Linked DNA regions of Xenopus tropicalis. The protein of the gene in region 1 binds, or shares a complex with, the protein of each later gene. Links are inferred from orthologs where the notes say so. Each region holds a gene or a part of one and is shown on either strand. Other genes may lie near its edges. The genes, in order: tcte1, efcab2 and ccdc153.

Evidence for each region.
Region 2: tcte1 (region 1) and efcab2 share a complex: the UniProt entries of both Homo sapiens proteins name them as parts of the nexin-dynein regulatory complex. The link is inferred for Xenopus tropicalis from reciprocal best matches to the Homo sapiens genes DRC5 and DRC8.
Region 3: tcte1 (region 1) and ccdc153 share a complex: the UniProt entries of both Homo sapiens proteins name them as parts of the nexin-dynein regulatory complex. The link is inferred for Xenopus tropicalis from reciprocal best matches to the Homo sapiens genes DRC5 and DRC12.

The regions. Positions count from the first base shown.
Region 1 is NC_030681.2:2,400,110-2,410,895, reverse strand, and holds the start of tcte1 (dynein regulatory complex subunit 5), read left to right. Parts: upstream 1-3,676; 5' UTR 3,677-3,764; exon of another isoform or gene 3,765-3,793; intron 3,794-5,649; 5' UTR 5,650-5,699; coding exon 5,700-5,883; intron 5,884-9,113; coding exon 9,114-9,688; intron 9,689-10,485; coding exon 10,486-10,786. Other genes in the region: mad2l1bp (MAD2L1-binding protein), read left to right, coding at 213-725. UniProt on the Homo sapiens protein: Component of the nexin-dynein regulatory complex (N-DRC) a key regulator of ciliary/flagellar motility which maintains the alignment and integrity of the distal axoneme and regulates microtubule sliding in motile axonemes.
Region 2 is NC_030681.2:51,983,642-51,994,427, reverse strand, and holds efcab2 (dynein regulatory complex protein 8), read left to right. Parts: upstream 1-4,905; 5' UTR 4,906-4,963; coding exon 4,964-4,988; intron 4,989-6,765; coding exon 6,766-6,850; intron 6,851-7,224; coding exon 7,225-7,297; intron 7,298-8,425; coding exon 8,426-8,505; intron 8,506-8,925; coding exon 8,926-8,968; intron 8,969-9,051; coding exon 9,052-9,118; intron 9,119-9,222; coding exon 9,223-9,338; 3' UTR 9,339-9,819; downstream 9,820-10,786. Other genes in the region: splicing factor YJU2, read right to left, coding at 1,133-1,267, 2,063-2,207, 2,321-2,421, 4,760-4,783. UniProt on the Homo sapiens protein: Component of the nexin-dynein regulatory complex (N-DRC), a key regulator of ciliary/flagellar motility which maintains the alignment and integrity of the distal axoneme and regulates microtubule sliding in motile axonemes.
Region 3 is NC_030683.2:80,329,475-80,340,160, reverse strand, and holds part of ccdc153 (coiled-coil domain-containing protein 153), read right to left. Parts: intron 9,535-10,686; 5' UTR 9,533-9,534; coding exon 9,469-9,532; intron 9,358-9,468; coding exon 9,295-9,357; intron 5,258-9,294; coding exon 5,138-5,257; intron 4,838-5,137; coding exon 4,745-4,837; intron 3,909-4,744; coding exon 3,778-3,908; intron 1-3,777. UniProt on the Homo sapiens protein: Component of the nexin-dynein regulatory complex (N-DRC), a key regulator of ciliary/flagellar motility which maintains the alignment and integrity of the distal axoneme and regulates microtubule sliding in motile axonemes.

The DNA.
Region 1 (10,786 bases):
CTGGCAGCATAAATGAGTGCACTGGGGCCCTCGGTTGTTGAACTGCAAGTAGCAGCACCCGTGTAGCAGCACCCGTGTAGCAGCACCCGTGTAGCAGCACCCGTGTAGCAGCACCCGTGTAGCAGCACCCGTGTAGCAGCACCCGTGTAGCAGCACCCGTGTTAGTTCGGCGGTTCCAGTTGTAGTTTAGCTCTGTGTTTATCTCTCCCCAGGGAAGTGAAGATGCTGCCAAGAAACGCTCTTGGACCGAGGAGCTGGGGAACCGCCAGTGCAAACAGACTCTGTCGGACCTGGAGGAGCTACTGGGTCAGCTTGAAACTCTGTTCGCCATCACCCCTGTACCCCGCGTTCTGCTGCTGCTGGGGGGGAACCCCGTGAATCCCAAAGAGCTGTACGATATCGACATGGCGGGGGTGAGCGTGGGTAACGGGGAGCAGAGCCTGGGTACCCGGCCGTGTCTGCGCCAGCTGTTCCATGCCCTGTTCCTGGCCGACCCATTCAGCGACCTGCGCGCTACGTCTGTACTGAGTCTGGTGGTGATGGTGCAGGGGCAGCGCCAGTGCGGCACAGACTGGTTCAAGCCCAAGCTGAATTATAAGGTGCCCAGCAGGGGCCACACCCTGACTGTCAGACTGGCATGTACGGACTCTCCGGCCCCGGAACCCACCAGCGGGGATTATATCTGGTTCCAGGCTCCCGTTACAGTCAAGGGCTTTCAGAACTGAACGTCTGGGTTTTTATCTTTGGACCAAGTGTTGCGGTTCTGGCAGGAAAATGGTGCTGCTGTAGGCGAAACCTTGTATTCTGTGAGGAACCTGTGTGCGGGTGGGGGTACCCCTGCTGCTGCATAGGGTTAGTAATGGGGCAGATAGGGGACAGGAAGTGCCCCCCGGGGGTAGGTGCAATACAGGGGGCCCCAGAGTATGGGCTGCCATTCTGCCAGGGCACATCCTGTGTCTGTATCACTGCCTGAAACTCAGCCCCCCCCACCCCAAGGAGAGGCACAACTATAACTCCCTGTATGGCAATAGCCTGAAACTTTCCCTCTGTACAACGAAGCTCGAGCCCCCCCACCCCAAGCCTAAGGAGAGGCACAACTATAACTCTCTGTATGGCAATAGGGTGAAACTTTCCTTCTGTACAAGGAAGCTCGAGCCCCCCCACCCCAAGCCTAAGGAGAGGCACAACTATAACTCTCTGTATGGCAATAGGGTGAAACTTTCCCTCTGTACAAGGAAGCTCGAGCCCCCCCACCCCAAGCCTAAGGAGAGGCACAACTATAACTCCCTGTATGGCAATAGCCTGAAACTTTCCCTCTGTACAAGGAAGCTCGAGCCCCCCCACCCCAAGGAGAGGCACAACTATAACTCCCTGTATGGCAATAGGGTGAAACTTTCCCTCTGTACAAGGAAGCTCGAGCCCCCCCACCCCAAGGAGAGGCACAACTATAACTCCCTGTATGGCAATAGGGTGAAACTTTCCCTCTGTACAAGGAAGCTCGAGCCCCCCCACCCCAAGCCTAAGGAGAGGCACAACTATAACTCTCTGTATGGCAATAGCCTGAAACTTTCCCTCTGTACAAGGAAGCTCGAGCCCCCCCACCCCAAGCCTAAGGAGAGGCACAACTATAACTCTCTCTGTATGGCAATAGCCTGAAACTTTCCCTCTGTACAAGGAAGCTCGAGCCCCCCCACCCCAAGCCTAAGGAGAGGCACAACTATAACTCTCTGTATGGCAATAGCCTGAAACTTTCCCTCTGTACAAGGAAGCTCGAGCCCCCCCACCCCAAGCCTAAGGAGAGGCACAACTATAACTCTCTCTGTATGGCAATAGCCTGAAACTTTCCCTCTGTACAAGGAAGCTCGAGCCCCCCCACCCCAAGCCTAAGGAGAGGCACAACTATAACTCTCTGTATGACAATAGCCTGAAACTTTCCCTCTGTACAAGGAAGCTCGAGCCCCCCCACCCCAAGCCTAAGGAGAGGCACAACTATAACTCTCTGTATGACAATAGCCTGAAACTTTATCCTGACTGGGTCGGCCTGACTCCTGAATGCATATGAACCCCAATAATCTCACTGCCCCCCAAAGGGGAGTAGTCGGGAATGGAGTAAATCCTGTGCCTTATACATAGATACCCCCAGGGTGCTGCTGCGGGGGTCACTATCTGACGTGCCGGGGGCAGCGCTGGGGTCACTAAGGCCTGAACCGCACAGGTTGCACTTTCTCTCCTTGGTTTTTAATGTAAAGTTTTTACTTTTTTTTATTATTATGAAACTAAAGAGAATCTATATTTTTATTAAAGTGACAGGTGCTAAACTTGCTAATATTTAGCAGCCCAAGGAATTTCCCAACATTCTGTCTGTCTGTCTGTCTGTCAGAGACGCACAGTTTAACCCTGTGTCTGTGTATAGAGGCTGCACTATTTCATTTTCTCTGTCTGACCTATGGCATTGGCTTCTTCTAGGAAACTACCTCCTCTGCACCCCCATACTTTGGGACCCACCCTCAAATAAAGGTTTTTATCCAAATCCTCCTGTTTTATGGTATCTCTCTGTACAGGCTATGAGCAAACTTAGGGGGCTGTTCCTGCTGAATTGTGCTTAGTACAGGGGAATCCCTATGTGCCATAGTTTTAGGGTATCTCTCTGTACAGGCTATGAGCAAACTTAGGGGGCTGTTCCTGCTGAATTGTGCTTAGTACAGGGGAATCCCTATGTGCCATAGTTTTATGGTATCTCTCTGTACAGGCTATGAGCAAACTTAGGGGGCTGTTCCTGCTGAATTGTGCTTAGTACAGGGGAATCCCTATGTGCCATAGTTTTATGGTATCTCTCTGTACAGGCTATGAGCAAACTTAGGGGGCTGTTCCTGCTGAATTGTGCTTAGTACAGGGGAATCCCTATGTGCCATAGTTTTATGGTATCTCTCTGTACAGGCTATGAGCAAACTTAGGGGGCTGTTCCTGCTGAATTGTGCTTAGTACAGGGGAATCCCTATGTGCCATAGTTTTATGGTATCTCTCTGTACAGGCTATGAGCAAACTTAGGGGGCTGTTCCTGCTGAATTGTGCTTAGTACAGGGGAATCCCTATGTGCCATAGTTTTATGGTATCTCTCTGTACAGGCTATGGGCAAACTTAGGGGGCTGTTCCTGCTGAATTGTGCTTAGTACAGGGGAATCCCTATGTGCCATAGTTTTATGGTATCTCTCTGTACAGGCTATGGGCAAACTTAGGGGGCTGTTCCTGCTGAATTGTGCTTAGTACAGGGGAATCCCTATGTGCCATAGTTTTACGGTATCTCTCTGTACAGGCTATGGGCAAACTTAGGGGTAACAATATGGCAGATTTTTTACAGATCTCTGCTGGGGGGGGGGGGGGGGGGGGGGGCGTTGCAGTTGGGGGTCAGTGTTAGGGAAGGGAGGGCAGAGAAGGCTCCGTATGGGAGAGGGGGCAGTTAAGAGGTTAAGGGAGGGGTGGGAAGAGATGGGTCAGTATTAGGGGGGCTAAAGTACCCGGACCTGCCAGACCTGGGGGGCCAGACAATAGCAACTTGCCCCAACCCCCGGTCCGACCCTTTTCAGCCCTCGGTGCCGGAACAGAGAGCGGCGAATGGGTTAAAGTGCGGATCATGTTACGCGGTACCCGCCAGGGGGCGCTCCGGGGCAGAATCCGTGCGGGGAAATAGCGCTGCCTGTGTTGCCATGGGAACGGTAAACTCCGGCCGGTAGCAGCCAGGGGAGAGCCGGTACCGCGGTGCTACAGTAAGTCTGTGCCTGGGGATTGGCTGTAGGTAGGTAGGTAGGGGTATGGGGGGCAGGGTAATACGGGAGCCCCCAGCCAAGCTCCCTTACCTCTCACATTGTATTATATGTTCAGCCCTAATGCCCTGTGTCTCACCCTCAGTGTGGGGCCCCTGCCGTAAAGCGAGTTGTTACCTACAAGGCATTCAGTGCAAAGAAATATTTATATGTGTATATGTTCTACTCACCCCAAATAAACACAAAGGCCCTTATAGTCTAACCCTTATAATAATAATAATAATAATAACCCTGTGGGTTCCGGGTATGTGGGCCCTAAGCGCCGGCCCTTACAGTCTAACCCTGTGGGTTCTGGGTATGTGGGCCCTAAGCACCGGCCCTTACAGTCTAACCTTGTGGGTTCTGGGTATGTGGGCCCTAAGCGCCGGCCCTTACAGTCTAACCCTGTGGGTTCCGGGTATGTGGGCCCTAAGCACCGGCCCTTACAGTCTAACCTTGTGGGTTCCCAGTGTGTGGGCCCTAAGCACCGGCCCTTACAGTCTAACCCTGTGGGTTCCGGGTATGTGGGCCCTAAGCACCGGCCCTTACAGTCTAACCCCGTGGGTTCCCAGTGTGTGGGCCCTAAGCACCGGCCCTTACAGTCTAACCCTGTGGGTTCCGGGTATGCGGGCCCTAAGCACCGGCCCTTACAGTCTAACCCTGTGGGTTCTGGGTGTGTGGGCCCTAAGCACCGGCCCTTACAGTCTAACCCTGTGGGTTCTGGGTGTGTGGGCCCTAAGCACCGGCCCTTACAGTCTAACCCTGTGGGTTCTGGGTTCTGGGTATGTGGGCCCTAAGCGCCGGCCCTTACAGTCTAACCCTGTGGGTTCCCAGTGTGTGGGCCCTAAGCACCGGCCCTTACAGTCTAACCCTGTGGGTTCCGGGTATGCGGGCCCTAAGCACCGGCCCTTACAGTCTAACCCTGTGGGTTCCGGGTATGTGGGCCCTAAGCACCGGCCCTTACAGTCTAACCCTGTGGGTTCCGGGTATGTGGGCCCTAAGCGCTGGCCCTTACAGTCTAACCCTGTGGGTTCCGGGTATGTGGGCCCTAAGCGCCGGCCCTTACAGTCTAACCCTGTGGGTTCCGGGTATGCGGGCCCTAAGCACCGGCCCTTACAGTCTAACCCTGTGGGTTCCCAGTGTGTGGGCCCTAAGCACCGGCCCTTACAGTCTAACCCTGTGGGTTCTGGGTGTGTGGGCCCTAAGCATCGGCCCTTACAGTCTAACCCTGTGGGTTCCGGGTATGCGGGCCCTAAGCGCCGGCCCTTACAGTCTAACCCTGTGGGTTCCGGGTATGTGGGCCCTAAGCGCCGGCCCTAACAGTCTAACCCTGTGGGTTCCGGGTATGCGGGCCCTAAGCGCCGGCCCTTACAGTCTAACCCTGTGGGTTCCGGGTATGTGGGCCCTAAGCGCCGGCCCTAACAGTCTAACCCTGTGGGTTCCGGGTATGCGGGCCCTAAGCGCCGGCCCTTACAGTCTAACCCTGTGGGTTCCGGGTGTGTGGGCCCTAAGCACCGGCCCTTACAGTCTAACCCTGTGGGTTCCGGGTATGCGGGCCCTAAGCGCCGGCCCTTACAGTCTAACCCTGTGGGTTCCCAGTGTGTGGGCCGTAAGCACTGGCCCTTACAGTCTAACCCTGTGGGTTCCGGGTATGTGGGCCCTAAGCACCGGCCCTTACAGTCTAACCCTGTGGGTTCCGGGTGTGTGGGCCCTAAGCGCCGGCCCTTACAGTCTAACCTTATGGGTTCCCAGTGTGTGGGCCCTAAGCACCGGCCCTTACAGTCTAACCCTGTGGGTTCCGGGTATGCGGGCCCTAAGCACCCTCTTATCTCTCTGTCCTAACTCACAGGGGTAAAAGCATATACAGTTCCACAACTCACTGCCCATTGGCTCAGCAAGATGATTGAGGCCCCTCCCAGTGTAAGAGGTTTGGTGCCGGCGCCGTTACCAGTGGGGCAAAGAAACCCGGCCGCCGACCCCAGAAGGATGCGCAGAATTATTGCAGAAGATCCAACATGGTCGTTGGCCATTGTCCCCCTGCTCAGCGACCTCTGCCTGCAGCACATCGTCACGAACTTTGCACGTAAGTGGCTCTAGGGCCCCGGGCAGATATGTGTGGGCAATGGGTGGGCAATGTGTAGACAATGGGTGGCCAATGTGTGGGCAATGGGTGGCCAATGTGTAGGCAATGGGTGGCCAATGGGTGGGCAAAGGGTGGGCGATGGGTTCCCAATGGGTGGGCTATGGGTGGGCAAAGGGTGGGCGATGGGTTCCCAATGGGTGGGCGATGGGTGGGCAAAGGGTGGGCGATGGGTTCACAATGGGTGGGCTATGGGTGGGCAATGGGTGGCCAAAGGGTTCCCAATGTGTAGGCAATGGGTGGGCAAAGGGTGGGCAATGGGTTCCCAATGTGTAGGCAATGGGTGGGCAAAGGGTGGGCAATGGGTGGCCAATGGGTGGGCAATGGGTGGCCAATGGGTGGGCAATGGGTTCCCAATGTGTAGGCAATGGGTGGGCAATGGGTTCCCAATGTGTAGGCAATGGGTGGGCAATGGGTGGGCACGGGCCCCTATTCCATTGGTACTTGGTGAATTTGCTTTTCCTCCCCCATCTTATACCAGGGACAGTCACTATTTATTGGGCTGGGGGGGCTGTTTGGGTACTGGAAATATTGGGGCCTATTTTGAGACCAAGTCCGGATCTGCCTGGGGCCCCAATGATACAGGAGTTGGTACCAGGTACTGACGGACCCGACCCAGTGCCCAGCCATGAGGCAGTTACATGGGATTCTCCCACAAGGTTCTGCACTTTTTCTTTAATTTCTCAATGACAGAGAATGAAGGGAATACTGGGGGGGGGGTTCTGTGCGAGTGATTAAATGCCCCCCCCCCGGGCTGTTTTCCATTTACGTCTCCATTTCCAGTCAGTTGTGACCTTTCTATCCCGACTCAGTCTCCTCTCTGGGCCTCAATTATTCATTATCTATTTATAATCCTCTCTCCCGGGGGGGGGGGGGGGGGGGGGGCGTGGGAAGGGGCGGAGCCCACAGGGGGCGCTCACACACACACACAGTTATTAGAAATAAAAGCCCCTCCCTGCTGCAGTGATGGTCTGACTAGTTATCCACTCCCAGTAAGAGGGGACGGCCTATCGTTATGGGCCTTACTCCGGCTCCCAGTAAGAGGGGACGGCCTATCGTTATGGGCCTTACTCCGGCTCCCAGTAAGAGGGGACGGCCTATCGTTATGGGCCTTACTCCGGCTCCCAGTAAGAGGTTATGGGCCTTACTCCGGCTCCCAGTAAGAGGGGACGGCCTATCGTTATGGGCCTTACTCCGGCTCCCAGTAAGAGGGGACGGCCTATCGTTATGGGCCTTACTCCGGCTCCCAGTAAGAGGGGACGGGCCTATCGTTATGGGCCTTACTCCGGCTCCCAGTAAGAGGGACGGCCTATCGTTATGGGCCTTACTCCGGCTCCCAGTAAGAGGGGACGGCCTATCGTTATGGGCCTTACTCCGGCTCCCAGTAAGAGGGGACGGCCTATCGTTATGGGCCTTACTCCGGCTCCCAGTAAGAGGGGACGGCCTATCGTTATGGTCCTTACTCCGGCTCCCAGTAACAGGGGACGGCCTATCGTTATGGGCCTTACTCCGGCTCCCAGTAAGAGGGACGGCCTATCGTTATGGTCCTTACTCCGGCTCCCAGTAAGAGGGGACGGCCTATCGTTATGGTCCTTACTCCGGCTCCCAGTAAGAGGGGACGGCCTATCGTTATGGGCCTTACTCCGGCTCCCAGTAAGAGGGGACGGCCTATCGTTATGGGCCTTACTCCGGCTCCCAGTAAGAGGGGAGGGCCTATCGTTATGGGCCTTACTCCGGCTCCCAGTAAGAGGGGACGGCCTATCGTTATGGGCCTTACTCCGGCTCCCAGTAAGAGGGGACGGCCTATCGTTATGGTCCTTACTCCGGCTCCCAGTAAGAGGGGACGGCCTATCGTTATGGTCCTTACTCCGGCTCCCAGTAAGAGGGGACGGCCTATCGTTATGGGCCTTACTCCGGCTCCCAGTAAGAGGGGACGGCCTATCGTTATGGGCCTTACTCCGGCTCCCAGTAAGAGGGGACGGCCTATCGTTATGGGCCTTACTCAGGCTCCCAGTAAGAGGGGACGGCCTATCGTTATGGGCCTTACTCCGGCTCCCAGTAAGAGGGGACGGCCTATAGTTATGGGCCTTACTCCGGCTCCCAGTAAGAGGGGAGGGCCTATAGTTATGGGCCTTACTCCGGCTCCCAGTAAGAGGGGAGGGCCTATCGTTATGGGCCTTACTCCGGCTCCCAGTAAGAGGGACGGCCTATCGTTATGGTCCTTACTCCGGCTCCCAGTAAGAGGGGACGGCCTATCGTTATGGGCCTTACTCCGGCTCCCAGTAAGAGGGGAGGGCCTATCGTTATGGGCCTTACTCCGGCTCCCAGTAAGAGGGGACGGCCTATCGTTATGGGCCTTACTCCGGCTCCCAGTAAGAGGGGACGGCCTATCGTTATGGTCCTTACTCCGGCTCCCAGTAAGAGGGGACGGCCTATCGTTATGGGCCTTACTCCGGCTCCCAGTAAGAGGGGAGGGCCTATCGTTATGGGCCTTACTCCGGCTCCCAGTAAGAGGGGAGGGCCTATCGTTATGGGCCTTACTCCGGCTCCCAGTAAGAGGGGACGGCCTATCGTTATGGTCCTTACTCCGGCTCCCAGTAAGAGGGGACGGCCTATCGTTATGGTCCTTACTCCGGCTCCCAGTAAGAGGGGACGGCCTATCGTTATGGGCCTTACTCCGGCTCCCAGTAAGAGGGGACGGCCTATCGTTATGGGCCTTACTCCGGCTCCCAGTAAGAGGGGACGGCCTATCGTTATGGGCCTTACTCAGGCTCCCAGTAAGAGGGGACGGCCTATCGTTATGGGCCTTACTCCGGCTCCCAGTAAGAGGGGACGGCCTATAGTTATGGGCCTTACTCCGGCTCCCAGTAAGAGGGGAGGGCCTATAGTTATGGGCCTTACTCCGGCTCCCAGTAAGAGGGGAGGGCCTATCGTTATGGGCCTTACTCCGGCTCCCAGTAAGAGGGGACGGCCTATCGTTATGGGCCTTACTCCGGCTCCCAGTAAGAGGGGTAAGAGGGGCCTAGAGGACAATGGCTGAGAGTGTAGGAGACATATGAGTAGAAGGGGTGGAGAGAGTAGATGGGGAGGAGCCATGGGATGCTTTAGCCACGCCCCCTTTCAGGTGAGTCCATAATAAAGGCATATAATTATTAATGACACTGTCTGTGCAGAGAGACCCACCCTGGAGCGACTGCTGCCGAAGCACCGAGTGAAGGTGTTGGAGCGCCTCTCCCCCTCGCTGCCCCTGCAGGTAACGGCCAATCTGATTGGCTATGAGCAGTACTGGAGGCGGTGCTGCACAGCCCGCTGGCCCGTGTGTGACATCTCCAGCTACGGGGGCAGTTGGAAGAGACTGTTCTTCGAGAGGAACCTGGAACATCTCATTGAGCGCTTCATTCCCGACGTGTCCGACACCGACCCGGTTCTGGAGGCCGCCGAGCTCAGCCGGGACTTTGTGAAGAAACTGGATATCAAGGAGCTTCTGCCCCCCGTCAAGCTGGAAACCAAGAAGGACGCGGAGGAAGACGAGCTTTCCGACACAGGGAGCGAGGCCGGCATAGACCTGCCATCCATGGACCACTTCGACTTGGGGCTCGTAGCCCCTCTCCTGCCCGGCTTGGAAGAGCTCCACCTGGTGTATGGAGTCAGGAACTGCGGCATGAACTTCGAGTGGAACCTGTTCCGCTTTACTGATCGGGACTGTAACTCGCTGGCCCAGGCGCTCCGGGTGTTCAGGAATCTAAAGGTAAAGCTGTGGGGCAAGTAATAGTGACAGGCACCCCTGCTGGGGTAGTTGGGAAGCTTGGGGGCACCATAAGGGTTTCATATAAGGAAAATAATAGGGATGGTGCACATTAAAGGGGTAGTTCACCCTAAATTAACGTTTAATATGATGTAGACATTGATATTCTGATGGTTTTTCAGTGGTTTAGCTTTTTCGTTCAGCAGCTCTCCATCTGGTATTTCAGCAGCTATCTGGTTGCTAGGGTCTTATATACCCTAGCAACCAGGCAGTGGCTTAAATTAGAGATGGGAATATGAATAGGGGAGGGACTGCATAGAAAGATAAGTAATAACAATAAAACTGGAGCCTCACAGAGCAATAGGGTTTGGCTGCCGGGGTCAGTGACCCCCATTTGAAAGCTGCAAAGAGTCAGAAGAAGAAGGGAAATAATTCAAAAACTATAAGAAATAATGAAGACCAATTGAAAAGTTGCTAGGAATAGGCCATTCTATAACATACTAAAAATTAACTTAGTGAACCCCCCCTCAAACTGTAGGGTGGCTCCAGGGTCACTGATAGATTGTCAGCTCTGGGGACTATTAGGTGACCTCATTGGGTTTGCATTGAACCAAGCTTTATATAAGTTGGCTGATAATGTACTATGGGGGGGGGGGGGCATATATAGGAATCCCCAGTTTAACATTGGTCTATGGGCTGATTGTTAGAGATCCCTGCAGATCCACATACCCTAATACCCCAAAGGTTGGACTTTCTGCCCTTTGTTTGCCCCCCCCCTGTTAATATCCATTTATCCTCAGGTTTTCCGACTGCACAAGAGTAAAGTGGATGACGACAAGGCTTGTGTTCTAGTCAGAAGTTTGCTGAACCACCCGGCTCTGGTCCATTTGGACCTGTCTCACAACCAGGTCTCAGACCGAGGCGCTAGAGCCATTGCTAAACTGCTGAAGGAGAGTGCACTGCGGGTTCTCGATCTGAGCAATAACAACGTGGGTGCCCACGGGGCCCAAGCCTTAGCCCATGCCCTGACCAACAACTGGACCCTCCGGAACCTCAGCTTAAGGCTGAACCACGTTGGGAATGAGGGGGGGCAGGCCCTGT
Region 2 (10,786 bases), about 50 Mb from region 1:
CACATTTTCCTAAACTAAATAACAGCTTTCACCTGGTGGCCATTTTTCCTCTGATACATATTTAGATACATTTAAATCTGCAAACAGCATACACACACACAGACCCTTAATCAGCATACATTTAATCAAGAATACAGGCTCACACAGGCACACAACTGTCTCTGATAAAAGTTCTGCTTTGTTTGAGCTGAGCTCAGGAGAGTTGGTTGGGAGAAAATATTGAAGCAGACAGCTAGAGCTGAGTTTCTATGGGAACCAGCAATGCCATCTCTTCACTGGCTGCTAGACTGGGGGGCGTGTTTAGTAATCTGAGCTTAGAACAACTGAGCATGCCCACAAGCCAACAGCCAAAGCAAATTCCTAAGGGAGGGGGCCGAGTGAGAAGGAGAAGCAAATCTGTGTGTGATTAAGGGGATGTTGCAGCCTTACTATTAAAGGAGAAGGAAAGGCCAAGTCACTTGGGGGTGCTAAAATGTTAAGCACCCCCAAGTAACTTTAATCGCTTACCTTGTACCCCGGGCTGGTGCCCCTGTTAAGAGAAAACAGCACCAGCCCGCGGTACCTGTAGCGAGCTCTTCCTCCTCCCGGCTTCATTTCGATGAGACTAACACAATAGGCGCATGCGCAGTAGAGTGAAAAGCCAACGTCTCTGTTAAAGTTCGGCTTTTCACTCTACTGCGCAAGCGCGGGCAAGCGATACAGGAAGGAGGAAACGCTGCAGGTACCTCGGGCTGGTGCTGTTCTCTCTGAACAGGGGCACCAGCCCGGGGTACAAGGTAGGCGATTCAAGTCACTTGGGGGTGCCTAACATTTTGGCACCACTAAGTGACTTTGCCTTTCCTTCTCCTTTAACCTCTGGACAACCAGTGTGGTAGGTATTGAAAGATTTCAAAGAGGCTGTTCACTGTTTACATTTTTGTGTGTGGGGTTTACATGTCCTTTAAAAAACAAAGAATGTGAAGAACCACAACTAACAGGAGCATAAAAACATAAAAGAGGGGGATTGGGAACACCAGAAGCAGAAGAGTGAACCACGGTACCAGAGAAAACAGTATAACTTGCCAGAATATATATAAATGAGAAAAACAATATTTTATTAACCCATTCTCCTTCCAAAAAGAGTGGTAGTTACCTTCATAGGGTTATTGAGCTCTTCTTCTTCACGTTCTTTTTGAAACCTCTTTTCTTCCTCCTCTATCAATTTTTCTGCTTGAAAGTTGCGAGTTGCTCCATGTTCCATTGCATAATCTGTGTTTTCAGGGTCTGTCTGTGTGGAAAAAACTAAATGTTATAGGATAAAAAAAAACAACCAAAAAGATAATACATGCAGTAAACATAATAATGGTGTAACACATTTATTGACATGTCCATACAGGGAAATACAGGGAGATGTATTCACCCAAATATGGCAATGCCACTTCCCATATAGTTCAAACAACACTGACTTTATTGTAAACAAAGCTAGTATAAATCCAGACTAATGTGTTTGTCAGTAGCTAAGGGTAATTGCACAAGATGTGCAGAATTTTTGTCACCTCGGTGAATGAGGGGGATGACACAACACTGCATAGCTCACACCCATTCAAGTGAATGTAAAATGCCACATTTGCAGCTTGTTCTGCTTATGATCAGGCGTGGATTGGTTATATTTTCATTGTATTCAACATGCTAAATTATTTTACAAAACACACATTTCAGTAGGTCATGGCCATTTATAAGGATATTTTGTACAGGAGATTAACGGCCCTTGTGTATTATTATAAATAAATATATATGTGTGTGTGTCCATAGTCAGTCTAGCCTTGGGTACACGGTCAATATGTAATATAAAGCTTTCAGAAGGACCAGAACTCCATTCTTGAATTATACTGTTTTATTTAACACCACTTTGAATCCAACGTTTTGGCCCACATTAGAGCCTTTATCAAGCATGCTTCTATCGTACTACTTTAGGATCCTTGATAAAAGTCCATATACACAGTGATGTTAAAACTTTATAATTCATTAACTGGAGTGCTGGTCCTTCAAAAATATCCTCCAAATATAAGGTTTACTTTATTACCTTAAAAGTGATCTCAGCTAGGCAACGTGTACACTTAATATAGAAACGGAAAATAGGGAGCCCCAGATACAGTTCATTTTGCACAGTTTCTTTTCTAGCATTGAACTTCTTCCCCTTGTAAATATACTCTCCACAAGTCTTACACCTGCAAAGACATTGACGAAGAAATAAAATTACTTACTCTGGACAATTCGATGAAAAACAGTATAAAAAATATTTCAGTGGGTTACTCCTTAAACACCACTCACATGCACTCACCTCATATTAAATGGTGCCATCAGACGAACCACATACTGGCGATCTTTTGGAAGCTTTAACTTTGGGATTTTAGATGGATCAAAATCTGGAGGGTAATATTTCTAAAACAGATAAAAAGTTAAAATGAAATCATTTTATAACAATAAGAGCAAATAATTTATAATTATTTATAACAGTAAACAATTTATAGGCTCGATAAATGAATGATTGGTTGCCTTAGAAGATAACCTGAAAAATATATATGATATCACCATATATGGAAGGATGCAGAGCTCTGACAGCCTCCCTATGGTAAACATTGTGGACGTTGGGGGAAAAACAATGCCAAAGACTGCAAATGCTTTACACAGCATACAAGTAAGTCCTTGGAATATTAAGTACGTTCAAATACAGCTGATGTACTGCATGCATATATCGACCACTAGTACTATGTTTCCAGAAAAAAATGTCAATATATTTCAGTGAAATAAAATCAAACGCTTTGATTAAAAGCTTATTATAAAATAGTTAACTGGAAAATATGTATAAACTTAAATTTATTATTTGTAAAAGAAAAATGCACGAACGGTCCATAATGGAGAAGGACCTCAGAGTCTTTGTAGATAATAAACTTGGCTGTAGCAAGCAATGCCAGGCAGCAGCTGCAAGGTTTTGAGCTGTATCAAAAGGTGCATAGCTTCACGGGAGGAGGGGGTTATTCTTCCCCTTTACAGAGCGCTGGTAAGGCCCCATCTAGAATATGCTGTTCAATTTTGGTCTCCAGTGCTCAAACGGGGCATTATTGAATTAGAGAGGGTCCAGAGAAGGGCAGCTTAGATTGTTAAGCGTATGGAAAGTCTCAGTTATGAAGAAAGACTAGCAAAGTTCGGTCTGTTTACACTGGAGATGAGGCACAGAGGTGACATGATAACTATGTATAAATATATAAGGGGATCATATAATAACCTCTCTAAAGCTTTATTTACCAGTAGGTCCTTCTAACTGACACAAGGGCACCCACTCCATTTAGAAGAAAGGAGGTTCTGTTTAAATATTCGGAAAGGATTTTTTTACTGTGAGAGCTGTGAAGTTGTGGAATTCCATACTTGAACCACTCCTACTGGCTGATACATTAGTTATCTTCAAGAAGGGGTTGGATGGCTTTTTAGCAAGTGAGGGAATACAGGGTTATGGGAGATAGCTCTTAGTACAAGTTGATCCAGGGACTGGTCCGATTGCCATCTTGGAGTCAGGAAAGAATTTTTCCCCCTCTGCAGCAAATTAGAGAGGCTTCAGATGGGGTTTTGTGCCTTCCACTGGATCAACTAGCAGTTATGCAAGTTATATATAAGCATTACGTTTAACTTGGTGGCCATATGTCCTTTTTCAACCTAACTTACTATGTTATTATGTGTCATCTATATCAGTGGTACCTAAACTGACCAAGTGGCTAGGGGGACCAAGTCTGCAAGCCAGTTAGTGTAAGACCTAAGATCTAAGGGTAAGGCCTAGATCTTCCTCAGTTAAGTGACAATTTATTTCCTGGATACTCATGGCTGATACAGCAGTGTCTTCATATATCTGTACATATATAGGTGTCATTACATATAGCAAGAAATGTAAGAATTCATAAGCTGGGCTTTTAATTACAGTTTACATCTTCATAACATAGACATCAAAGTACCTTCAGCATGTTTTTTAACGTGACCCTGACAACTGATATTAGTAGTACGCACTATAAACTGACTATATTCTGTGTTAACCAGTTTCCAGTGCCATCGCTGTTAGCTCTAGGCCCATATCATACAAACCATTTTGCTACACAGGGGACATGCTGATTTAGCTGCCCCATGTGTAATCCGCCTGTTACTGCACACTAGCCAGATTTTGCCAGAGAACGTTTATTATGATTATAATAGTTATGCATTTTAGCTGAACTCTGCACGTATGTGGAATGACCAAGCTTTTTAAACAAGATGCTTCTGGCATAGGAAGCAAGATTTGTCTTGCTTTAAATGTACAATATAATAATTGAATTTCATACTGGTGACCTTGCAGCCTACCCCTGAAGCTGACAGAGTGGAATGCTGGAACTACTGACCCAGCAGAGTTGTCTTCACTTCAGCCTTTACTACTTTGATAACTTCTCTTAGTATTAATTATATAACATGTAACATATGTAATATCCCTCATACGTAATAAAAGTTACAAGTATGCCAGGGTGAAGAAAGCCATATTTTGCGTTAAAAAAAAGTGACCAGCAAATGCTACTTGCTGATTGGTTGCATTAGGTAACAAGTCATGTACAGAATTTTGCACCTTTTATAACACAATCCTCAGAGTTTTTACTGACGCACCACGTCTTTATTAGTGAGTGCTGTTTACATATCTTCAACCGGTCTATCCCTTAACCAAGCGCCTCCTGTCCCTTTCCCCAAGTCCCTTCTTACTATTACGTACATTTAAGACTTTCCGCTCAGACATTGTTACTCTTCACTCCTCTGTAGCTGTATTTTCCAAATGGCGCAGATCAATGACGTCACGCTCCAGCCGCTCGCAGGAACAAGCAGCTAGGAAGTGTTTTATATTCACGCACGTCATCTCAGCGCCACCAGGTGGTCAAATGACTTGGGTTGTGCAGTCACCTAGCAACCAGATACAAAAATGACTGATGAGAAGGAGGCCGCTGGTAAGTTAATGCTCCATAACAAAATGTAAAAAACAGATAAAAATAGCGAGACGAGGAGAGGGAAGGAGAAGGGGAAATTAACAGAGACTTGGTCTGAACCCTGTTAGAAAATCAATAGAAACGAGTAAAGTACATTCTACAAATAATCGCCTGTTCATCTTTATGGGTGACTAAAATACTGGGTGCATTTTAGATAGAGTATCAATTAACCTATTGGTACAATTTGGAATAGAATTTTAGTATTGATATACTGCAGGCAGCAGAATGTGCTATAATCCTAGGCAGGGCTGCCATCAGAACTCACAGGCCCCATACAACACAATTAGCAGGATCTGTTGTCCAGCCAGTGGGCATCTAAGCTTTTGTTCGATCAGTACATCAGACCTAGTGAAGTGAAGGGGGGGAATCAAAGGCAAGGGATTATATTTATGTTAAACAAAAAAAAAACCTGTATGGATTTTTTTAATAAATTTATATTAAAAAATATTGTCTTTTTCATAAAGAACCTGGCACCATAAGGGCTCTTAGATTTTTCACTTTACTTCCCCTTAAAAAATGTACTGCAATTCCCATTCTCTGATAACGTAAGGGGGCCGTGCAGGTGTAGGTATGTAGGTGTGTACCTAAGGATATCCTAAAATTGTACTGATCACACCAGTCACATCCCTGTTACTAGGATTGGCTTCTGTGCAAGATAGTTATAATCAAAACTTTGGAATTTAGCACCCATTACTATTATACCTCATCTCAATACTGTTGGCTAAAAACAAACCCTGAAATGTAAGCAAGAGACAATGAGCTACTATAAGTTGCTGTAATGAAGTAAGTTATTCTGATCAGTGCAAGATATAGGAAAACTGTAAAAGTAATAAATGCAAAAAAAAGCACCAAATTACATTTTTAATGTGTGTTAAAAAAGCTAGTAGCTTATGTTCTGTTTTCTATCCATTATAGTCAGTGCCAAAGCCAATTAATCCATTTCCTTAATTCAAGCGTTTAGGTTATGGTGTGAACAGACATACTGTATATGAGCAACAGAGAATACCACCGTACAGGGCAGCCTTGAGGGCAAATAGTTGTCCTGGTGTTTTTTATGGTCATAGGAGCGCAGGCCACGCTGCACTTGGATTACCAGGGCCCCCTGCAGTCAGTGACCAGCAGCCTTCAGAACACAGGACTAGCGCTCCAGTGCCAGCTTCTTATTATCTCATACAGCTTTCTGTAAGCTCATTTGCCAATAAAGTTTAAGTCCCGGAAAAGGTGCATGGTGATTGAATGGGCTGGAAGGGACCCATCCAATCCCCATGCAGAATTACCAGGATTTAGAGTTCTGTGGTAAATGAGCAGTAAAGGAGATACAGGCACCCAGGTTCCTGTCCTTTGCTACCCGATTCTGCAGCTCTCACAGCAGCACGGCCGGGCCCCCCTTAAACCTCAAAACCCACCGGGCCCAGGACTGTCCTCCCTGGCGGCGGCCCTGGTTCTAAGGCTGTTTCAGCGCAATCTGAGAATAGGCAATGCACCACCATTCTCTTTCTGAACCTGTGTGTGCACTGACAGGCATGTGACATATAAATATATGTATTTTCATGCCAAAATCTTTGTGTGTGCTAAAGAGGTGATCCGTTGCACTTGAAGTGGTGACAGATGGTTCTCCACACAGATGGAGCTCAAATAGTCATATTAGTAATGGAAACAGTGTATAACTGTAAAGCATGTCACTATGCCTGCTAATCCATTAATGCATCTAATTATTTTCTTACACATATTTTTTCAGAATCTCTAGTGACAGATTTACAGAAAAAAATTACAGAAGCCTTTGAGGTTTTTGACCATGAATGTAACAAAACTGTTGATGTCAGGTAAACATAACATTTTCCCTGTAGTTTTTTTTTGTAGAATGCTGGGTAAACAGGAGAAAGACAGCTGTACAAGCTTTCAGTTCCTAAAGCTGCCATTTTTATTATTTAATGCAATCTCAAAAGTGTGTGTGCTTTGGTAATCATTTTCTTTGTATTGTGTAAAAAAAAACAACACACTAAACAAGCAAAACCTTACTTTGTCAAGAGTTCTCATTAAAAAAAGTATACAATATGCACATTATTTATTTTATTTATTATTTTTTAAAGCTATTAGACTAATTAAGATTTTTTTTACATTAACAGGATATAAAAGCTAACCCTAACCCTGTTTTATTTTAAAGTTTCATGCATTAACTGTGCTACTTTTGTAACAGAGAGATTGGAACAATCATAAGGTCTTTAGAATGTTGCCCAACAGAAGGCGAACTCCATGATATGATTGCAGAGGTAAGGTTTTAAAAACAAGTTAAAGAGTACAGAACTATATGCACTTATTGTGCCCATATCAATAAAAACTGAAAAATTGCAGCTGTAAAAGTAAAAATATTTTTATATTTATTCTGACCTATTATTGCCTAAGAAGAGATAAAACCTTTGTATGTCTTATCTTGCTGTGTAAAATAACTCCCACGTTTAAGATGTAGCTGAGAAAGTTTTTGCCTGTTAAAGGCAACAAGAATTCTGCGAGTCTTTGTTAGCATGTTCAGCCAATAGAGGGCACTGTTTTATTAAAGTCTGTTTCTAAAATGTTACATTTTCTAAACAAAAAATAGTATGGCAACTCTGAGCAACTATAAATGAACATCAATATATAGACACATTAGGCATCCTATACAAAATATACCAGTTTTCATTAACATTTAAAGGAGAAGGAAAGGTAAAAACTAAGTAAGCTTTATCAGAAAGCTCTATGTTAATACAGCCATAAGCACTCACAGAAACACTGCACTGAGTCCTCATCAAAAGAAACACATGATTTATTGTCTCCTTTTTTGTAAACATGGTCTAAGAGTGTATGACTTCCTCTCTCAGAAAAATCCTTCATTCCAGGGGCCAGAGTCTGCACAGTTCTCTCCTCTCTCCTGCTCTCCCCTCCCATAAGAATTCATGAAACTGACTCCCCCCACCCTTAGGAATGTGTAATCTGAGCTATAGCGGCTAAACTGCAAGCAGGAAGCTATGAAGACCAAGCTAAAATGGCAGCTGCTGTCTTAAACAAACAGAGAAAGCTTCTAGGGCTCTTTACTCAGTTATGGTAATGCTTTCTGCAGAATAAATATAGCATTCTAGGTGGCACTAATGTGGCGAATCTATTGGCAGTAAAATGCCAAACTGACTTTCCTTCTCCTTTAAATGTAAAGTTTTTTCTTAACTAAATACTCTGCATCACATTATTTGCTAAAAATATAGCCATGTGTTTTGTGATTTTGAACGCAATAAACCTTGCTGTCCCATGGAATGTAATTATGACAGGAAATATTTTTTTTAAATAAAATTGATTTATTATTTTTACATTTCTTAATCTCTTTTTTCAAATATGGTTTATTATTTACATTTATATTCCTTGCCTTTTAGGTAGAAGAAGAAGAACCTACAGGGTACATTCGTTTTGAAAAATTCCTCCCCATGATGACTAAGGCATTAATGGAGAGAAGGTATACATTTCATTAGGTGCTTTCATGTGCTTTACACCAGCTTTATGGTGGCATTAGGTAAAGGGTGTCTTGGCACAGCCATTAGCCTAATGTCTTCGTATTTGCAGACCCAAAACAATACTTCAGTTATGACAAGGGTGCAATCCTCTGATGAATATATTATATATGTGGGGGAATGGTTGGATGCATACTGTATGTTTTAGATTCAGTTAGAACTGCACTGGACTGTAATCCTGGGCCCCCTCCCCACAGGAGCTGCTGTGTATGGTTTTTACACTCCTCTCTAGAGTTTATTTTTCTGCTGATTTATATAAAGATACCTGCCAAACTGATTAAGATGTAGAAAGAAAAACTTGTTTTTTAATTGTTGTACATGATGCAAATTTAGGTCTTTCTATAATTTTCCTTTGTGGTTTGCAGGTATAGACCCATTCCTGAAGATATTCTTCTCCGAGCCTTTGAGGTTGGTGTTTTATTGTTATGTTTTAATAGGCAATAAAGAGTGTTACCAGGCAGAGCTAATCAGCTCTATTTACTAATTTCCAGGTTTTAGATGAAAAGAAAAAGGGATACCTCACTAGAGAAGAACTTGTCAAATATATGACTGAAGAAGGTACAGTTATACACAAAGTGTTTATTTTGAGACAGTGCTAATCTAGAAATAAATATTTTTGAATCATGAAACACTTGCACAGACTGTGTGTCTTATTGTCTCAGGTGAACCATTCACACAAGAGGAGATGGAAGAGATGGTGTCAGCTGCAGTGGATCCAGAGAAGAATGTTGTTCCATACAGAGAGTATGCTGCAATGATGACCATTGATGATTATTGATAATAAGTCAGTTTAAAAAAAACAGGAGGCATTTTAAAACACGTACATAGTACAATTATATATAAAGTGGTGTTTTTTAGACTTGAAGACTTTAAATTCCCACTTGAAGACTTTGAATTCCCACAGACTGCCCAGTTTTTTCAGTGGCCATGCACAGGCAGATCTAAGCTGCCAAATTGGCCCCTTTAGACCAATTCAGCAGCTTATCTGCCTGTATATAGGGCCTCAAGGTTGAAAGATCTTCACGTGTATGGCCAGCTTTACATAGTGCACCCTAATGAGCCTTTGGCAATCAATACCAAAAACAGGACCAGAAACATGTATCTATTTTTTCAAGTTAGAAGGTTATATTTGAGACAGTGGTTCACTGAACAGGCATTCACATATATAAAAAATGAACATAGACATAAACATAAATATTTTTTTGTAATATAAATGTTTTTAACAAATAAGGTTTATAATAAAACAAATGATTATCAGATGATACTCTAGCCAATTTTTTGTTAAATATAAGTGCCCAAGAGCATTTCAATGCATTTCATGCTATTGAAGTGCATGCTAATAATGTCTAAATGTATACATTGCATATATATATATATATATATATATATATATATATATATTTGCATATTTAAAAGGTATACTCTCATGGGAAAACACACGGACTATGCCTCATTGTGTCAAAACCCATGATCCACCCAAACCCTGTCCCCTTGCTACCACAAATAACACCTCTGTGTTTCTTGGGACCCCCTTTGCCACTGACCTTTGAATGAAGTACCCACCTCTGATTTCAGACCTGCTCCTAAATTAAATTTAATTTCACAGCGAGTGGAAGAGAGAACTTTAGCTCCAAACACATTATATACAGAAACCAGTAATGGGTCCTGACCTTGAGACCGCCCCCTTACTCTTTTAAAAAGCAGGTTACCTGAAGGCTGGAAAATGTTACAGTATCCTTCAGGTCAGCTCAGAAATTGTCTGCATTGCTAAATATTATGGGTACTATAATAGGATTAAGCAGGATAAAAAAACAAGTGTCCCATTTTTAGGGCTCTGGCACACGGGGAGATTAGTCGCCCGTGACAAATCTCCCTGTTCGCGGGCAACTAATCTCCCCGGATTGCCATCCCACCGGGGAAAATGTAAGTGGCTGGTGGGATGACACACGCTGCGCAGGCGATTTGTCGCGGGTGACTAATCTCCCCGTGTGCCAGAGCCCTTAGAGGGCTTGTCCTAAGTTGGCCCCTGTCCCTTCAAAAAGATTAGGTACTATATCTTGAGAACTGGGGCAAAGCAACAGCAGGCCCGGACTAGTAATCTGTGTATCTTGGAAAATACCAAAGGGGCTGCTGTAAGATGCCATAGACAGCCAATATTTAGTGGGCTGGTGTTTTAAGGAGGCTTTAATGGTAGGCTGGTTTAGAGGGCAAGATGAAGCTGGGGAT
Region 3 (10,686 bases), on another chromosome or scaffold:
TGTTTGGAAAAGGTTTATAGATCTAAAACTTAGCCAAAAAAACAGTTGTGGATTGATACGGATAAACCTCAAGTGTAATGAGCATGAAGAAAGCAGAAACAAAATATGAAAAGACACAATAGTATGAAACTCAGGAAGAAAGATGTACAAAAAATAAGAAACACACACAGATTAGAACTTAGATTAATTCTCAAGTCAGAGGCTCCCAAGATATGACAAAACACTGGTTTACTGAGTACTTTAGCAGTTTAGTGCACAAACTACACAGAGGGAAACCTGTGTCATGTAATTACTTCTATTATGACACAATGTAATAACTGACAGATATAATTAGCATTAATGTGAGGTATGTCCATCCTGCTGCCTTTCAGCTAATTAAAGGAAAACTAAACCCTGCAAATGAATGTGGCTTAAAATGCTATATTTTATATACTGAATTTACTGCACCAGTCTAAAGATTCAGAATCTCAATAGCAGCAATGATCCAGTTGTCACAGGATGTCCCCATCTTGGAAAGTGTCTGCGACACTCACATGCTCAGTGCACTCTGAGCAGCTGTTAAGAAACTAAGCTTAGGGGTCACTGCAAATTATCAAGCAGAAAATTAGGATTGTCTGTAATATAAGATGATGCTAATTGCACTAGTTTCAGAGCTTCCATGTAATGTAAATCTGAATAGATTACTAATCTGCCATGTATCGTGAAATTTATATTTGTATATACTGTGTACAACTTTATGGTATTATGGTAGGCAACTTTCTGGTACTTATTAAACAGATGAGGAAGCCATTCAAAAGATGCTAATGTTGGCATACACACTGCTTATTACTGAATCTATTTTATAACATTTGTGAGTTGTCTGAGAGATCCATAAGCCTTTAGCCTCACATAAATATACTAAGCAAGATATACTTAACAAGAAACTAGCCACAGCAACACACAATTTAAATGTAGGAATTAAGAAAGGGGTTAAGACTAAGGGGCAGATTTACCAAAGCACGAATTCGAATCCCGAATGGCAAAAATTCGGATTGTAAACAAAAATTTCGCCGCCTTTTCGTCGCCGGCGCAACTTTTTCGTATTTTTCGTTGCCGCTGCGACTTTATCGTATTTTGCATGACTAATTCGTCGCCATCGCTATTTTTTCGTATTGAGTGGATGGCGGAAAAACCAATACGAATTTTCGCGACAACGCCGAAAAAGCTGCGGAACATACGAAAAAGTCGCAAAAATACCAATCATTACAAAAAAATGCATTTGGACGCCTTCGGACCATTCGTGGATTAGTAAATCTGCCCCTAAGGGTATGGTTTGGAAGTGGGTGGGAGGATAACAAAACAAAACAAGAGGCCCAAGTCTAGTACCCATGTTCCACTAATTGCACCCTAATCACTCATGTCCAACAGGACAAATCTGCTTTATTTTTCCACATTTCATTTACTGCAAACAAATCAACAAGTTTTTATTCTATAAAGAGCATTCCTTAAAGGGAAACGAAAGTCAAAGTCACTTGGGGGTGCCAAAATGTTAGGCACCCCCAAGTGACTTTAACCGCTTACCTCGTACCCCGGGCTGGTGCCCCTGTTAGGAGAAAACAGCACCAGCCCGGGGCACCTGGAGCGCAGCGCTTCCGTCTTCCTCGCTTCCTTTTCCTGAGTGCCAGCGGTGGGCGCATGCGCAGTAGAGTGAAAAGCCGACTTTAACATTTAAGTTCGGCTTTTCACTCTACTGCGCATGCGCGCGCAGCGAATCAGGAAAAGGAAGCGCCGGCAGCTACCCCGGGCTGGTGCTGTTCCTTCCTCACAGGGGCACCAGCCCGGGGTAAAAAGTAGGCGGTCAAAGTCACTTGGGGGTGCCTAACATTTTGGCACCCCCAAGTGACTTTGACTTTATTTTTCCTTTAAGCAGAGCCACCAGACTGTGGATCTGAGATAGAGTTCTCCAGGGAAGAACTACATACTACTTGCAGAGGAAGCTTAGTGTTCAGCTATTAGGAACTAGCGGGGTGGACAGCTGATCCCAATAACACTGTGAATATTGTGTTTTGCCTGACACCAAGAGTTATGTTGAAGTCATCAATTAAATACTGATATGCAGCACTGGCCAAAAGATGAAAGGGAGGGGAAAAAACAGAATAAACACAAAACAGTAGAAAAAGTAGATATTAATTAAAAAAAGACACCAAAACAGTGTTAAGTAGAAGAGCGCAGCAGATCGGAAAGCAGAAAAGAGGAGACCAAAAAAAAAGAAAAACCCAAAAACAAGGTTGGGGAAGAGAAAATCTGAATGTTAAAGGAAAACACAATGGAAAAAGGAGAATGGTGGAAATTTGAACAATGGAAAACACGGAGAGTGGAATGAAAAGAGGGGAAGGTAAAGGCATGTTTCTGATACTAAAATCAGTTAGGGCATCTACTTTACCACTCCAAACATCTATGCCTCTAATAAGAACCAGTTTCCACACCTCACCCTCAATGTCCACCTATATTGTTTGACCCCTGCATGAAGGATTCTTCATACTACTATGTTTTTTTTCCTGTAGTGGAAGTTTTATTGGTTTCTTCTAATGTGGCTCCCATAAGCCAATGGGTCTGGGTGCAGTAGAGTACTTGTAGCTACACCACTGGAAAATGCAAGAGGGGAGAAGTAGGGAATTTTCTGAAAAGAATTACTGTTTATAGTTTTCCTATTAAAACTGACACCTAACTCCCAGGACCCCAATATAGGGTAACATTTACCTGCCCCACTTCCACGCACTTCAGGATATTGCTAGATGAGTTCTAGGGGATATTGTTACAGAGGACGACTGCAAGAATTATGACCTATTAAAGCATGAGATCCACACCAGACATGCTTTTCAGGTACTTGCAACTTAGGCATGCTTTTAATATACAATTCCCATCCAGACCCATAAGGTTATCCGAAAAAACCCTTGAGACTTACCTTCATAGACAAGACCTCTCCTGGTTCTACATTATACCTTCTTTAATAGGTCCCTCTCCCCTTCAAAAAAATAGACTAAATGGCAAAGGGACATACCCACGCTAGAGGATGAGATGTGGTCTGATGCCCTCAAGCTTGTTCCTTATTTATCCATCTCAAAGAGGGATAGATACATACAGATTAAGTTTTAAACAGAGTGTACTCAACAACCCACCGTCTGGCAAAAATTTATAATAATGTGTCTGATCAATGCCCCAAATGCACCGATGGCATAGGCACCATGTTTCATGGCTTCTGGTCTTGTCAGGCTATCCAGAGATTCTGGGGTGAGGTGCTAACATTTCTCAATGAGAAGCTTGGCTTTCCAAACATCCATTCACTCCTATGCTGACTAGGAGTAATAGGTGATATACACATCTGGTCCCACTCCAGAGCATGCTACTTACAACTGCTTTACTATGCTAAAAAAGCCATTCTTATGCATTGGAAATTCTTAGATCCCCCTTCTCTTCAGTTTGTCAAAAGATGGTAGATGATTCCCTTCCAAGCCAAAAACTGATTATTTAGCAAGACGTCCAGAGAAATTCAATGCTATATGGGGAACCTGCTTTGAACAGCAAAATATCTGAATGTATAATATACCTATTTACACACTTTTTGATTTGGGGCCTTTGCCTCACTTTGCTTTCCTTTCCATTCTTCCCTTTTGTTAATTGTATTCCTTGTATTGAAAACTATGCAAAAAGAAAAGCTTTAAAAAAAATTAAAAAAAAACTGACACCCAAATGACATGCAGTGACGCTCCTGCCGTAGCTCAAATAAATTTAACTTACATGCAACAAATTCTCATATTCTGACTCCATGTTTTCCACCTCTCTACGCAGGTGTATAATTTGATCCTCTTTCTCGGATTTTGTGTGCTCCAATTCTTCACGGACTTCCTTTAGCTCTTGCTGAGACTCACCTAAGTGTGATGCATACACAATTACACATTATTGGGCTTGCATTGTAAAGTATGCAAATTGAGGACAGAGCTATTTACTATTGCAGGTTCAACTGTATACACAAAGTGGTTGCGACTTTTCTTGTGCCTTAACACCTATTTGGAATTTGCAGATATAAATGAGATTAAATTGTAATGAATGGGATACCTGAGGGCTCATTTACAGCTGCAAGCGCAATAGACAACTTGCACTTAAACTACTTGGACTTAGAACCGCTTTCATTAAATTTAACTGCGTCATAATGCACTCTTCACACTACCCTCTAGTTGCACTCAGTCCTTCCTGCTTTCCGTTTCAAATCGGGCTCTGCTGCACTTATTGCACGACATTCGCACGCTGAACACCAAAAACGATGCCAACAAATGCTAGAAATTACACCAGACAGACTTTGAAAATATTCAGTGCAACTGCTCCCAATTTGCAACAAGCTGAAGACACAGTTTCATCCATTTTGGCAAATTGGATGCGACTGCAGTAGGTGAGCGCAATTGCGCCAACAAAATCACCCGCATTACAATGACACCAGAATTCTGGAAAAAAAATGCATTGTGGAAAAAAACATGGTAATTGCCCCTGAAATTGCATTTGCACACTGCGTAAAGTAATGAATGCAGATTTTTCCTTATGGACTTTTTCAACCTCAACTACTATGCTACTGTTACTATGTAACTTAACTACGGTGAGCCAAATGAAAGAAGATCTGGAAAACACCAGATTCCATGCATTCTGGATAGATTTCATGTCTCTATAAGTGTGTCTACATTTTATGCCGTCTAGTACTACGCTCCATTCTCACCAAGTTGTAACCTCAGTTCCGCAACCTCCTGTTTCAGGGCCTGGATAGATGCTGAGCTCTGCTGTTCCAAAGCCTGCTGCTGACGTGTCATTTCTAAGGGTGACAGAGAAAAATGAAGCCAGTCAGTACTAAAGGAAAAATTAAACCTGTTATGTAGAGCACAATCTTGACCCAAAATTACAATTTTCATTGTAATATTTTAATTTACATCCACTGAAACCCAGCCATTTCTGGGTGGGTAATAACTACTAATACTGTTTTATGAAACGTCCTAATGTGAGCGATTTATTAGTTAGCTGATTAGTCACCATATGGCCTTGTTTAATTTGAGCCTATATCTTGTCAATTTGAAATTCTATCCTTTGATACCAAAAAGGAAGATCCTTTCCTTACCACTGTATATAGCTTGTTTTTCACTTTTCTCCTCTTCCAGGTCTCCCTGCAGCTCTTGCAGTTTTGCATGCAGCTCCTCTTTGTGTTCCTGAGTTCGCCGTGTTACTTGCCTGCGCAGCGCTGTCAGAAAGGAGAGTCATATGAAGTATTTAACGAATCTTACCAAGGTTGCATGTACAACAGTAAATACTGCTTTTTTTATATATTTCCCCCTGAGCCGCCATTTTGTGATGGTCTTTGTTGCTTCCTCACAGAGTAAAACACACAGTTCTGTTCATTCAGTGGCTGATATAACATCTGCATACCCTTGGTTTGTGTATCAGCACAGTGCCTCATATGAACCAGAGGGTGGAGCTTAGTTCTTAAAATGGCAGTTTTTAAAATTGGGATTATCCAATGGCACATGCTATTAGAAAAGTATATTTTTTTATGAAAAGGTTTTAGTTTTAAGAAACAATGTTTTACATATGTTTATGTGATTTACTTTTAGAGTTTTTCTGGGGGCTCCTTTAGCCCTGAAAATGTAGCGAAATTGAGTTCCCAAAGATATTGTGTTCTGAATATGCCACTGCTGAAAAGATGAAATTCACTATAATCTGTAATTATTCCTATATGTCAGAGGTCCACTTGGGTCTCACCAAAATTGCAAGTAAGCCCTGTAAGTAAATATGGCCCCACAGTTTGAGAAGCACTGGTCTAATTTATTTTACTTAATTAAATACTGACTTTTCTACATTGTTTTTTTTATACCTATGTCCACCTTACATATTTCTGAATTATATATGACAAAAAAATGGCTCCTTGGGGTCTCCCCTACTACTGGTATGTATGAAAGGTCTTTTGTGAGAACACCTCAAGTTGGGACATTTGGTATATAACCAAAGGGGTATACCTGAAAAATCTGTCAGGGTCTGGCAATGCTGGTTGGACACTTTGGACTTTGAGGACATCTCTCATTAAAACCACTGTTTAGTACTGTATATTGCAGCAATGCCACTCTTTTCTATGTAACCCTAGTGACAACTCTATACATAAACATAAAGGCGATGTATTAAGCTTACCCACCTACTCTTTTCTTTTATATGTATATCTTGTTTGTTTCTTTCTTGTTAACATTTGGTATTAAAAGCAATGAAAAACATCTTTAAAAAATGATATGATAAATACCGCATGAAAACACAGGCTCTAGAATAATAGTATCTCTTGATACAGCCAAAGCATTTGACTCCATTGAATGGCCCTTTCTCTGGGAGGTAGTTACTAGAATGGGATTTGGCCCCTCCTTTGTCAAGTGGCTTAAACTTATATAGTGAACCCAAAGCAGCCGTCAAAGTTAAAGGAATCCTATCTACCCCATTCAATCTCACCCGAGGCAGCTGCCAAGGATGCCCCCTCTCCCCACTATTGTTAGCCCTAGTGATTGAGCCCATGGCGATCAAAATTAGACACTCCCAACAAATTGAAGGATTTATATGCAAGACAGCTGAGGAGAAAATCTCTCTATATGCCGATGACACACTGCTATACCTTGCAGACCCCCATGACTCATTTAAAACAGTTCTAGACATAATCAAATCCTTCGGCACATTCTCTGGCCTACAGATTAACTGGGAAAAATCTATAATTTTCCCCCTAGACGATCAAATTCCACTAATGACAGACCCCGAATGCACCCTCAAAGTAGCCAATAGTTTCAAATATCTGGGGATAACAATCCACAAAGAACCAGCAGAATTCCTTATACACCCACTCCAGAATAAATTTATAGACACAATCAGGCACTGGACAAAACTGGCGCTTACATTAATAGGTAGAATAAATATATGCAAAATGATTTTTCTACCTAAATCCTTTACCAATTTAGTAATACCCCATGTCACATACCAAAAAAAACCCTATTAGAAATAGACCGTACTCAAACCACATTTATTTGGGGAAACAAATCTCCAACACTCCCTAGGAGCACCCTAAATGCCCCACAAGACCAATTAGGACTAGCATCTCCCAACTATGAGCTTTACTACCTAGCCTCTCAAAGCACTCACATTGCAAATTGGAAATTGTTTGACCCTGAGAACTCAGCCTCATTTCTAGAAGCCCTTTACATCCCCTCAGTAAAAAACCTACACAATGCTCAATATAGAACAAGGAAGGACATTAGTCCACTACTACCAGTCTTAGATGCCACGACCATGACACAGTTAACGAATAAAACAGGGGCAATATCCCCTGATACCCCATTATGGGGGAAAAGCAACCTACCGCACTTTGCATCTTTCCCAGAAGCAGGATCCTGGGCCAGGTTAGGGGTAAAGCGTATTGACCACCTTTACTCAAACGGTGAACTGCATACACTACCTCTGTTACAACAAATTTTCCTCCCAACCCGGCCTGTCAGATTACGCGTCTTTGTGGAGTACATTTTCAACAACCGCCACATATACAGTACCTAGATCTAGAACACTTGACAGCTCAACCCAGCAAATCTAAACTGCTTTCAAACACTTACAAGCTCTTAATTACTAACAGGTATGACCCACGGCCTAGGGTGAAGCTTAAGTGGGAGACCTCTGGGATACAATTAAATCCCGATGACTGGGAAGAAGTCACAGATAACTTGTACCAGTCCCTAATAAGCACAAGAGACAAGTTAATACAATTTAAAATTATACATTAGACCTACCTCACCCCACAAAAGTTATATAACATGGGGAAAACCGATATATGGGCAACTTTATGCACCTAATATGGGAATGCCCTGAAATACAAAAATTTTGGTGCAAGGTTACAGAATTCATGGGAACAGAACTGGACTTCGGCTACCTGTATATTGGGTCTCCTAGACACTCTGATACCCAGAAGGAATACAAAATTACTAATGAGACTACTACTTTTTTATGCCAAAAAAAACATTGCTCTGCACTGGATGGGCCCATCACCCCCATCACTCCGATCACTCCGCAATTGGATTAACTTCAATTCACAAGTGGAACTGTACAAACTTACCTATCTCACCAGAAGATGCCCGACAGAATTTTAAAACATTTGGTCTACTTGGACAGACTCACCAGCCACAACAATATAATGAATGTTTACTCTCCAACTTCTTTTTTTCTTTCCTTTCCTCCCCTCTTCTTTCTATCCTATTCTATTGTTGTTAAAAATCAATAAAAACCAACCTTTAAAAATAAATAAATAAATAAATAAAAAAAAAATGATATGACAAAAAATAAAGTAAGGCAAACATTAAAAAGTTAGCTATCCAATATATATGCCAGGAAGTGCAGGCAAATACAGTCTATTGGAGTGGTATTTTAACCTTCCCTCATCAGGTATCGTAGTTCAGTGCCCTGAAATGAATCAATTTATTTTCCTGTGCCACCACCACAAAAAGTTAGATAACTTTATACTAGCACATGAAAAACTTGTTTTCTTTGTTTGCTTACTGTTGGGGCCTTGTTAATGGCCTGATTTGTTCTTTTCCTAAAATTATTCAATACACTTTTGTGGCTGGGTTTATTTTGTAAACTTAAAACAACAGCTTCTACCTGAATGTGCCCCATTGACTTTTAAATGATAATTCATAACTTTGTGTAACTAGGGGCCCCTGACCAAAGTTCCCTCTATATTTCCCCGATGGCAGCCCTACCTTTATAACTTTATGTAATGGATGATCCCGAGTCACGATGTATGATGCTAATTTACATGTAATGACAACAGCAAAGCTTTTTAAATATGCTATCATCCTGACTACGGTGTTCTGGTGATCAAAATAAGTTGTGTGCATTCTAAATATGTGAATTATTTTATATTTGCTTTATACTTTTATAATTATGTATTATATGAGTAAATGTAGAATAAGCGGCCTCATTGTAATGGCAAACTTTTAGAGAGTGCTAGGGTGAAGTTCACCAGAGAGAAATTTCACAGCTCTGTATTCACTTGCAATGATATATGGGGGGAGTGTTTATGAAAAAATAAACTTCTTAGTGTCAAGCCTTGACAAACATGCCTTAGAAAAAGCTCCTATACATGTGAGAGTGTGAAATGTGGCAAACTATTTTTACCCTTTGTAAAAATATACCCCTTGCTAGCCTATTTTGTTTCACTCCTGAGGCTTAGCTCATTTGGGCCAGAATCTATCTCCTTGTTGTTACCCAAGTGATTCTGTAAAACTTCAACTTCCAACGTTGCCTTGCGGTACTGGTCGTCTACTGAGCCTGAGGGGGGAAAAATCCATTAGAATTATGGCATAAATCCAAAAAAAAGACATAAGAACTGAACTACAAATACTTATAAATCTACGATGAAGAGAGTCTCATTTCTCTTACTTGTTCCATTCTTTGTTTTCTTCCCCTTTTTCTTTTGAGATTTTCCCTTCTGCTTTGGTGGCATATCTATAAAAGAGATATAATAGTCTGAGTCATAGGATTGAAAGATGCAAAGGCACAAGAAGAAAATAATTTTGGAGAAAAAAACTACCATGTGCCCCTTGAAAGGTTCATGTGGAATTTCAATCCTGCAAACTAATACATACTAATAATTGCCAATGCACAAATTATGGCCTATGTAAAATATTAAATTAATATTGAAAAATTAGCACCACACATCCCCCAAAATATTTAAGTTTACTTGTCACACTAAGGCCCCTCATTATATGTGAGTTCTTCACTGCCTTATTTTATTGTAAAACCATGTTCTCTTACCCTTAGCACAGGAACACTAGTGAGACTAGTAGGGAAGGACCCCACCTAACATAACTATACACCTATGAATGAAGACTATATAAATAGCAAACAAATCTTAACATGTATGACCACCTTAACAAAATTAACTGAAATAGCTTAAGGCCATGGTACTAAATATAATTCAAGATGATGACAGATGTGCTACTTGTTCCATATTATTGCTAAATCATTTATAATTTAGATGACTAGATTAATGTTTACAAACTGTCCAGTAAATTAGTACAACAGATCACACAGAATATTGGAGAATATTGCCTTGAGCTCCACACACTGGGAAATCTGCGGGTGCACATCAAGGCTCTTTGCTGTCCAAGAAGGCAGATCTGATGCTTCCAACCCCTTATGTTTCCATCACCTGTACATACATTTTCTTCTCTCAGACTGGGTATTGGTCAGCGGAGATTGCAGTTGCATGTAAATGGAGAAAGCTATTGGGAATTCTCCATGTAAAATTACAGGAGTATTTTTTGCCACCCCTGGAAAAGGAGAGACTTCTCACCTTGCCTTATGGCAAAAGGACCCATGGAAACTTGTGTCCACTGGATGCAGTTTAGAGGATTTGTACCCGGTTTTTAACTGAATCTGAATCCTTGAAATACAGGGCTGGTGGCAACCCTACAGCACAACAATACTTAAATGCAAAGAATTTCACTGGACTATAATAATTATAATTGATTTTTTTGTGCAAGACATAAGTACACTATATATATATATGTTTGTGTTTATATATACTATGGGGCACATTTACTAACCCACGAACGGGCCGAATGCGTCCGATTGCGTTTTTTTCGTAATGATCGG